Linked DNA regions of Macaca fascicularis. The protein of the gene in region 2 interacts with the protein of the main gene of each other region in a pairwise test. Links are inferred from orthologs where the notes say so. Each region holds a gene or a part of one and is shown on either strand. Other genes may lie near its edges. The genes, in order: WBP11, C6H5orf22 and ELOF1.

Region 1 (4,351 bases), on a different chromosome or scaffold from region 2:
TAAAGTTTGGCTTAGTATATCTTACAGTTTTTATAAAAAGCATAAAGCATCTTTTCTAGAAAATATTAGAAATGTTATTCTGAAACCCACTAATCCCAAACCACAAGATGTGCCAAATAGTACTTAAAAGTTTTATAAGATGCCTCTGAAATCATACCTTCTTTAATTCTCTCTTCCGGGCTTCCTTTCCTTTAAAAGGAGAGAGGGAGATATAATAAAATTTTTGAATCTTGAACATTAGCATTTCCTTCAATTTCATACAGGTAATTCTTTATTGTGGGAAGTTATAGTATGCACTGTAAAACAGCAGCATCTTTGGCCTCTATCCACTACATGCCAAGAGCATCCCTCTAATTATGACAACCAAAAATGTCAAGACATTTTTGTTTAATGTTCCATAAAAAACAACTATGAATCTGAAAGAAAAAGATAACATAAAATGCGAAACAAGGGCTCGCAAAACTAATTTGCTCAAAATTTCAAATACAAAAAGAAAACTTTCAGCCAATTCTACTTTGCAAGTCAATCAAATCTGAAAACTAAAATATGGGTACTAATTTCTTTGCATGTTTAACGTCTTAATGTTCCCATCCAAACACTGAATATACAATTTATTCCTCCTATCACTGCTGGTCTTGTAATTAAGCCACAGAGAAATAAATTCCCTAATATGTGCAATTTTTAACACTCTCCTACTTCATCATTCCACACTAATGGACACTTACGGGCTTGGTCTGTGGGGTTCATAAATTTTCCACTCTTGGTGGATGATGTAGATCTCCGTCCCATGTTGACAATTTGTATGGTTTACTTGTTCATTAAAAAAAGAAAAACCTGTGAAGGTGAAGACAAAGAAATAGCTTATATCTCCTAAATTTATTTCTTCCTTTTTCTAGTCCCTACCAATCTCTGAAAAAAAAAATTCCTTTAATTAGAAATTCTGTGAGACTGTTCTTTCCTTAGTTTTGACTTTAATGTCCAAGAAAGATGGCATTAAGTTCCTTGACCATGAAAATTTAGATCTTCATCATTCTTTGGAAATGTGATGAGTGTGAAGACCACTTTGAATATCCTCAAGTCATTACTTTATCTTTTTTCTTATGGATCACAGCGCTGACTTTGTCAACTGATAAAAAAACAACTAGAAAATGCTTTAACGATATGGCACAAACCATGAACATCAGAATTCATTAGTCCTTCTTCTATAACCTCCCTTTATTAACACGTAATTGTAAAAGAAGAATACGAACGGAATGGGGGTAATGGATCTAGGCTCAAAACAAACACCTCACTCTTGCCTCGCTCCATGGTTTTTCTTGGCATGTATGCTGTACATTCTCAACACTTCTAAGACGCTAAAAACTCATTCATTTAAGCATATTTAATTCAGATATAATGCTTGACTCTCAAGAGTTCAAAACACAACTAAAAATGCAAGTATTTGAAATTAGTGCTACACTGAGAGCTCCCCAAAATTTAAATATTAAGACACATATTTTTCTAATACCTGACTCCCAATATATATTTCTTAAGGTAACTAAAGGGAATACTTATTCTTGTTTGAGGAAAAAATATTTTGTAAGCTAAAACTTTTATTAACACAATACCCTATTACATGACTTCTTCCTCTTATTCCAAAAGAATGGGGCTTAATTTTTTGAAGCATTCTTTCCAGTAACAAAGGTGGACAAATTTGTTTCCTTTTGCAAGTAGACACTTTTTAAAGGGAAGAAAGGGAAGATTTTCAGACCAGTTTGTTACAGTTAATGTGTCTTTCGCCAAGTGTCCAATTGCCCCGAAAGCCAGATGTTTCAGAAAGCTAGATGTTTCATAGCTGTTCTGGTGGCAATTACTTCAAGACGGTGGTGTCAAAGGCTCTGATTTTTAGCTTCCTCATCTAAAAAATGGGGCCATCAATTACTTTATAACAAAGCTCTGATGATACAACGGGATTACAAATAAAATATCTTGTGATGTTTGACTCACTATTTAACTATAATGTTTATAATGGATCCATATTCCTGCTCTAGCTACCATATACCCTGTCAAGTGGTTTCCTTCTCAGAAAAACTGGGGGGTGGAGGTGTGGGTGGGAGAGCAGCAGGGAGTAGGAGGTAGGGAAGGAAGAAAACATGCAAAATTCGTACAAATACAAGCTCTCCCATCTTTGATTGCCTGCGTTTTTCGTGCTTTCCTTTCTCAAGCGGGCTCATGTTCTGAATCTCCTCCCCCACAAATGAAACACAACGGATACGAATTACAGAGAATTTTACGGAAGATACGGGAGCTTAAGTCTGCAAAGATTAGTTTTTTGTCTACAAGCGGGGGCGACTGGAAAAATCAAGCCAAATAACCGTTGGGGAACTGTAAATAGCCAAAAAACCTTCAATGGGATAGGGTCCAGGTCCACCAAAGGAGGCAACACCAGCAACTGCCGAAACCATAGTGACGGTTGACCGACCATGACTCGAGGTACAAGACGTCAAACCTAAGGCTACCAATCAACGTGCATAGGAAGCGGCCCCAACCGCCCCGGGCGATGCCAACCGCGTAACCACTGGTCGCCGCGCCACCCCAGGCCCTGGAATACCCCAGTCCGCAACCGGGAGACCCCAGCCGGGGAGAGGAGGAGCGGGGCAAAGGGACTGGGTGTCCCCCAAGCCACTGCGCGGGCCGTGGAAGGGACGAAAGAGGTGAGGAAAAGAAGTAGAGCAACTCCATACACTCACACTTCTGCTGTGCTCCCAGGACTACGAGAAGCGGGCAGGGGGCGATTCCCGGCCTCTTTCACTTGGTAAGGGCCTTCAACTCGGCCTCTCGGTCTACCCCTCAGCTACCGCCATCTTGAAACCTCGCGCCCCTCCGCAATCCTTACGTCATTTCCCATTCCTCTGTCCCGCTGTCTCTTAGCGCAGCTCGGCCCTAGAACCATAGAGAATACTCAAGAATTCCAGGACCAGAGTCTCTTCCGGTCCCATACAATACTCCATTGGTTGGTTGTCGGCTAAGAGCCCGCCTCATTGCGCTCATCTAGTACAATAGGAATTGAAAGAAGATAGCTGCTATCTGATTGGCTGACGGTCCTGTCTCTCAAGTTGGAGGCGTTCTGACCTAGTTGCTGTGGGCGTAATGCGTTGATCTGTCCGAGAACGGTACTTTCTGCAGATGCAGAAGCGTTCCGCGTTTTGTGTCTCTTGGAATTACGTTAGTTTTTGGATTTTTATGTTTCTTATGACGCAAGCAGGTGCGATCCTTTAGGGGTGTCTCCGTTTGTAAACGAATACCCAGATAACATTTGCTACTGAGTTTAATCCGCTTTGTAAGCATCAGGTTATCCCATGTGGGCGTCTGGTACGTGTGGAAATTTAATAGACGCGCAGAACAGAACATTTGTAGACCACCTGAACAAATAAATCAGCACCCGTATTAGAGTCGCAAATTGCTTATACGGGCGGTGATTTATTATTTATTATTTATTAGTAGTGTTCTGAAGAAGAAATACGGGGATACATATGCAGTCGGTTTTAAGTTTATGAGTGGCAAGGTTGATATATATTGGCCGTATTCCCTACTGGTCTATTCACCAGCCAAAAGTCCTCTATGATGTCACTCTACGTACAGGATTATTCACTTAACTCTAGCCTTTGCCCTTTCCTTACCTACTATCCCCTCTTTCCCTGAGTCAGCCCCCACTTATTTCCCTTAAAGGTAAGTTTAAACATTTAAAAAACTATCTTAGAGGGTACGCTTGGTTATTTCTAATCTTAACCAGACTATCCCTTGTAGGAAGTCTATTCTTACCACCAGTTATAAATATTTCAAAATATTGTTGGAGATACATATTAATTTTTGGCAGAATCTTTAAACTGCCCTTGAAGGTAATATGATCGGTCCTATACCTAAACTTACCTTTGTGTTAGGAAATTCTTGATTTGATTTTAGATTGAATTTCAGTGTCGGAAAGCAATGACAAGATCTGGTAGGTTAAAGCTGATAAACCAGGTAACACATAAAAAAGAAAATAATCTTGAATTTTGAAGATGAACTAAGTTGTAATATTTTGCAACTTGTTTTTTTTTCTTCTTAACACCATATTAGTGGTCATAGTTTTGCAACTCGTTTTGAAAAACAATGCGAGAAGAGAAAGAGAAAACAAACTGTTTGTTGGAAATATTAAAGTCTTTCATGTAGCTAAAATTTTTCCTGTAGCTAATATTATTAAGATAGGCTGAGCAGTTTTTATTTCAATACATTTCTTGTACTTGGATGGGAGAATCAGCTATAACAAACGCAGTCTGGCATCAACAGCATATTAATAATTTTGTCAGTATAGACTAAAAGAGTCCTCATG
Region 2 (3,656 bases):
CACCATGCTCAGCCAAGACTTACATTTTTTAAAAAATGGTATTTAAGATTATTACAAGATACTTAAGGTTTGAAAATATTTTGAGGCCAGGAACAGTGGCTCACACTTGTATCCCAGCACTTTGGGAGGTCAGGGCAGGTAGATCACTTGAGCCCAGGAGTTTGAGACCAGCCTGGGCAACATGGCAAAACCCTGTCTCTACAAAAAATACAAAAATTAGCCAGATGTGGTGGCACACGCCTGTAGTCCCAGCTACTTGAGATGCTGAGGCAGGAGGATTGCTTGAACCTGGGTGGTTACGGTGAGCTGAGATCGTGCCATTGCACTCCAGCTTGGGCAACAGAGTGAGACTTTGTGTCATATTTAAAAAGAGAAAATGCTTTGAGCTCATACAATATTATCAAATATGTCTGCAGGCAGGTCTGCTTTAATCATTACATTGCATCTGGATTTTTTTCGCTGGGTGGGTTTGATGTTTTTTGGGGGACAGGGAATGGCTGGGGTTCAGTCACATATTATATAATCAATTATGATGTGCCTACAGCTGCAGAGATAGAACGCTAAATAGTTTTACCATTTTGGCAAAATGAACATTCAGAATTCATCCTTTTATCACACTGACTGATTATTGCCAGTTAAATTGTTGATGTGTATCCAGAGCCTCTAGTAAAATAGTTGATTAGTGTGTTTTTTCATGCTTTGCACTTGTATACTCTAGGCAAAACTATGACATAGTTAAGTTCCATTTTTCAAAACATTAAAGTTAAGGTTGCAGAATGGTAGCATGTGAGCCACTTCTAACTTTCAGGCAAGTTTAGTTTAGTGCTAAGACTGGACATCATTCATTTAAATTTAAAACACATATGTAGATGGCAGTAGTCTATGGTTACACATAAAGGATACACAAGAAAACAGTTGGTTAAATAAGGTAGGACAAATATATTTTATCTTGTATCCTCTCAAAGCTTGGAATATAGTATTAGTTGCATGTATTAATATTTTAAAAGTAAGTAAAATAATGTGTTAAAAATGAGATGAGAATATTATGTACAGTTTTGTATCAACTTTTTATTTTTATTTTTTTTTTTGATACGGAGTTTCACTCTTGTTATCCAGGCTAGAGTGCAATGGCACGATCTCAGCTTACCGTAACCTCTGCCTCCCGGGTTCAAGTGATTAGAAGCTGGGATTATAGCCATGTGCCACCAAACCCAGCTAATTTTGTATTTTTAGTAGAGACGGGGTTTCTCCATGTTGGTCAGGCTGGTCTCAAACTCCTGAGACCTCAGGTGATCCACCCGCCTCAGCCTCCCAAAGTGCTGGGATTACAGGCATGAGCCACCATGCCTGGCCTCAACTTTTTAGAATCTAGATGAAATGGATAATTTGATAGAAAATGCGAATTACCAAAATTAAGTAAAGACCAATAATCATACAATAAAGAAGTAAAGAATTATTCTAAGAAGAGGCATCTGGCCCAGACAGTATATAGGTGAGTTCTACCAACACTTCAGAGAGCAGATAACTTTTATGACATAGAAACTGTTAGAGAAAAAATAATCCCAAAGCATAAAGATTAAAAATTAAAAGTTTGTCATATTTAAGGTGTTGGATAGTCCAGTTACCCTGATTTGATCTTTATATGCTAGTATGAATGTATTAAATTATCACATATACCCTGAAAATATGCACATCTTTTATGTATCAATAAAAGTAAAGATTTGTCAATAAGGCCATTAATGATTAAAGAAGCTTATAAAAACAATTGTCATACAGTGTAATTTTTGTCTTATTTTCAGGTTCACCAGGCTGGTTTAACCTGCGATTATTCAGAACTTCCTCACCACATCAGCACAGAACAAGAAATAGAGTATCTTATTCAATCTGTGCATTATTTACTGAAAAATTTACCAAATCCTACTCTTGTGACAATTGCAAGGTAAGTGTGTTCGGTAGAATAATGGCAAACCAGAGATGTGCACATCCTAATCTCTGGAACCTGTGAATGTGTTGCATTATATGGCAAAAGGGAATTATCAGTGTGATTAACTCAAGGATTTTGAGATGAGATTCTCCTGGATTCACCAAGTGGGCCCAGTGTAATCACAAGGGTCCTTAGAAGAGAAAGGCAGGAGGGTCAGAATCAGAGAGAGTGATTCGAAAATTCTGCCCTGCCGGCTTTGAAGATGGAGGCCACGAACACAGGCAGCCTTTAGAAGCTAGAAAAGGCCAGGGGACAGATTATGCCTGGGATCTTACAAAAAGAATGCAGCCCTGTTGGCACCTTTATTTTAGGACTTCTGACCTCCAAAAGTATATGATAATAATTTAGTGTTGCTTTAAGCTACTAAGTTTGTGGCAATTTTTTATAGCGGCAGTAGGAAGCTAATAAAATTTCTGTAGGTAAATGTAATGATTACTAATAAAATAATACAATTTTTTTTACCTACTCAGCTCAAAATTTAGATGTTGTATTTTCTCTTCCCTGGTTTTTTTTGTTTGTTTGTTTGAGAGGAATTTCGCTCTTGTTGCCCAGGCTGGAGTGCAATGGCACAATCTTGGCTCACCGCAACCTCTGCCCCCCGGATTCAAGCAGTTCTCCTGCCTCAGCCTCCCAAGTAGCTGAGATTACAGGCATGCACCACCACGCCTGGCTAATTTTGTATTTTTCATAGAGACGGGGTTTCTCCATGTTGGTCAGGCTGGTCTCAAACTCCCGACCTCAGGTGATCCACTCAACTCAGCCTCCCAAAATGCTGAGATTACAGGCATGAGCAACCGCACCTGGCCTTTTTCTCTTCCCTATTAGTGATGATATGCAAACAATGTAGTTATTGTTACCTTGTCTTTGCAGTTGGTAAGATTCAGATGAACACAAGAATTCTCATTTCTGTGTCCTACCAATTAATATTTAGCTGCTGCCATGTTTTAAATTTGAATATAATTGCTGAATAGTTATAACAATTTAATAATGCTTTCCTATGTTAATTTTTGGGCTGGTTTTGTATGGAAGTATGAAGTTCTGAAATAAGTACTTTAAGTACTCAGGCTAATAATATGTAATTCATGACAAACATTTTGTAACATCCTTTTATCATTCTGAAACCTCATATAATGTAACCTACCTATATGTAATTTAAATATATATAGATAATATTCATAATATACATAGATAATATACATTATATATGTAATATAACCTACTATACACATAATACCTATACACATAGGAGGAATTAAAGTAATTGATAATAAAATATATTAAAATGCCAAACTAGACTCACATATTTAAGACATGCAGTTAAAAATGTACTATAGCAGTTACACTACATGATGTAAATGTAGCAGTTACAAATGCAGATACCATGTGTTGACCAGATGCCATGAACAGCACTGCCATAATGACATTTTTCAGTCATTGAACAGTCTCTTCATAAGGATCTGCAGTTAAAGTCCAGTCTTTCCCCAATTTACAGAGTAGTTGCATTCCTGGAAAATTTAGTTCATATTTAATGCATTTTTTAAAAATACTTTTCTATATAATAAAGTGTTCAGTTCTAGGCTGTATTAGTCTGTTTTCATGCTGCTGATAGAGACATACCTGAGACTGGGCAATATACAAAAGCAAGAGGTTTAATTTAACTTATAGTTCCACG
Region 3 (2,322 bases), on a different chromosome or scaffold from region 2:
GTGATCCTCCCTTCTCAGCCTCCCAAGTAGCTGGGACTACAGGCTTACACCACCATGCCTGGCTAATTTTTAATTTTTTTTTTTTTTTTTTTTTTTAAGAGATGATGCCTCACTCTGTTGCCCAGGCTGGTATCCAGCTCCTGGCATCAAGTGATCCTCTCACCTTAGCTTCCCGAAGTGCTGTCTGGAATTACAGGTGTGAGCCACCATGTCTGGCCTTGTCTCTGTTTTATGGATGAGGAAACGGTGGCACAGAGAGCTTAAGTAACCTGCCCAGGTCATGCAGTAAGTGAGAGAGACGGGGTTAGAACCTCCGCTCACCCCTTCCATCCAGAGTGGAACAGGGGATTTTCCTCCTGTATCAGGACTGAGGGCCTCGTCGCTCAAGGGCAGAGGCCCCCAGACCATAGTGCAAGTCCTAGACCCTCTTTCCGGCCTGCTTTCTAGAGCATTGAGCGGGGGGCTGCGTGGTTTCCTCAAACCACTGACATCTGCCACTCCCCACAGGCTCATCCACCTGCAGACATGGGGCGCAGAAAGTCCAAACGAAAGCCGCCTCCCAAGAAGAAGATGACGGGCACCCTCGAGACCCAGTTCACCTGCCCCTTCTGCAACCACGAGAAATCCTGTGATGTGAAAATGTGAGTGGGGAACGGGGCAAGGGATCCATCCTCCCCACCACCTCCTCCCCGCTGTTCTCCATCCTGCCCCTTGCCTCCCTTGGTGAAGGCGTCATCACCCACAGGCCCCGGGCACATTGCTCACCAGTCCCTTCTCTTGGTCTGTTTCAGGGACCGTGCCCGCAACACCGGAGTCATCTCTTGTACTGTGTGCCTAGAGGAATTCCAGACGCCCATAACGTGTATCCTTAGAAACCTGGGCTTTTTCCAGAGGATGGGGAGGGGGCTGGAGTCCGGACCCTGCTCCTCTGGCCCACTGTGTGCCCTGGTGCAGGGCCAAGGCCGTCCAGAGGAACAGGTGCCACCTACTGATTTATGTGGGGTGAGAAGGTGCAGGGCAGGGTTCCAATGCCAATGATCACCCTTGACCTAAGCGGCTCAGATCTATCAGAACCCGTGGATGTGTACAGTGATTGGATAGACGCCTGCGAGGCAGCCAATCAGTAGCAACACAGAGGACCCACCCCCTGAGCAGCCCCGCCTACTGTGGACCCAGCTGTTCGGTTCTGGTCCAGAGACATTCCAGGGGTCCAGGGTGTGGGTCCTGGGCTGTCACAGCCCTCTGTGTGTGTGTGTAGAGTGGGCGTGGGTGTGAGTGGGTGTGTGTGCCAGTGTGGAGTGGATGTGGGTGTGTGTGTGGCTGCACGTGTCACTGGGGTGGCCGTGAGTGTGTGCTCATAGATACGCAGTGGTGGCAGGTTCCTGGGCCTGAGGGGCCTGAACTGACCTCTCTTGGCTCCAAAAGCCTTTGCTGTGTTCCCTTCTTCAGCCCCTGGCCCCCCAGCTTTGGGGCTCTGGCTCCCCCCCGGCGGAAGTGGGGGGCTGTTTCCTGATATCCTGAACAAGGGAAGCCCAGTAGAGGCTGGAACTGGACCTCTCCAGCCTCCTCACCAGCACCGTGCCCATCTCAACTGGACTTCCCGCCCTCCTTCTCCACCTTCTAGTGCCCGTGGCCTGGGATTCAAAGCCACTGTTCCCCAGGTCCCTGGGCTGGGCCCTGACAGGGAGCCGCCACCCTCCCCATGCTAACAAGGAAGCCCAGTTTCGTGTTCAGTTTCTTTTGTAGAGGAAGCAAGGGCTGGGGTGGGGACAGCTGTCAATCACAAGCCCTTAAATAAAGCAGCCAGCGCACATCCCTTGCTGTCCGTGATGTCTTGGGTTCTGCGTCTGCCTCGTCACCAGAAGAAGGAGAGGGGACCTGAGGTTCCAGCGTTTGGGAGGTGGCCTGGTGGCGCATGTGACCAGCCCTTCACACCGCCCAGCATTTTATTCAGTCAGTCAGCATTCAGGGTGGCGGAGCAGGCAGACATCTGGCCAGGTGCTTACAGCAGTCACATTAGGAGATGGGGTAGGTGAGACAGAACAGGTGGTCAGAGGAGGCTTCTGGGAGGGGCAGGCTGAGGCGGTGACATTGTAGGGCCACCTCTAGCCAGATGCTGACCTCTGGCCTTGCCTGCATCACCCCAGTGTCCTGACAGCCACCCTGTGGGGCAGGTGCCAAGCTAACCCCAGGTTCAAAGATGAGGAAACTGAGGCTAGAGGTGAAGGAGGTCACTGGCCCAAGACCCTACAGCCAGAAAGTGGCACGGGGGATCTGAACCCAGGAAACCAGGCTCCACAACTTACAGTCTGACTTCTTGTG

What was found.
Region 1: the proteins of C6H5orf22 (region 2) and WBP11 interact in binary tests that used the Homo sapiens proteins (3 or more experiments, as listed by UniProt). The two-hybrid records come from large-scale screens. The link is inferred for Macaca fascicularis from reciprocal best matches to the Homo sapiens genes C5orf22 and WBP11.
Region 3: the proteins of C6H5orf22 (region 2) and ELOF1 interact in binary tests that used the Homo sapiens proteins (3 or more experiments, as listed by UniProt). The two-hybrid records come from large-scale screens. The link is inferred for Macaca fascicularis from reciprocal best matches to the Homo sapiens genes C5orf22 and ELOF1.

The regions. Positions count from the first base shown.
Region 1 is NC_088385.1:17,580,442-17,584,792, forward strand, and holds the start of WBP11 (WW domain-binding protein 11), read right to left. Parts: upstream 2,874-4,351; 5' UTR 2,730-2,873; intron 835-2,729; 5' UTR 790-834; coding exon 726-789; intron 190-725; coding exon 158-189; intron 1-157. UniProt on the Homo sapiens protein: Activates pre-mRNA splicing. May inhibit PP1 phosphatase activity.
Region 2 is NC_088380.1:32,142,129-32,145,784, forward strand, and holds part of C6H5orf22 (UPF0489 protein C5orf22 homolog), read left to right. Parts: intron 1-1,799; coding exon 1,800-1,939; intron 1,940-3,656.
Region 3 is NC_088393.1:12,127,446-12,129,767, reverse strand, and holds the end of ELOF1 (transcription elongation factor 1 homolog), read left to right. Parts: intron 1-507; 5' UTR 508-525; coding exon 526-641; intron 642-791; coding exon 792-862; intron 863-1,062; coding exon 1,063-1,127; 3' UTR 1,128-1,813; downstream 1,814-2,322. UniProt on the Homo sapiens protein: Factor involved in transcription-coupled nucleotide excision repair (TC-NER), a mechanism that rapidly removes RNA polymerase II-blocking lesions from the transcribed strand of active genes.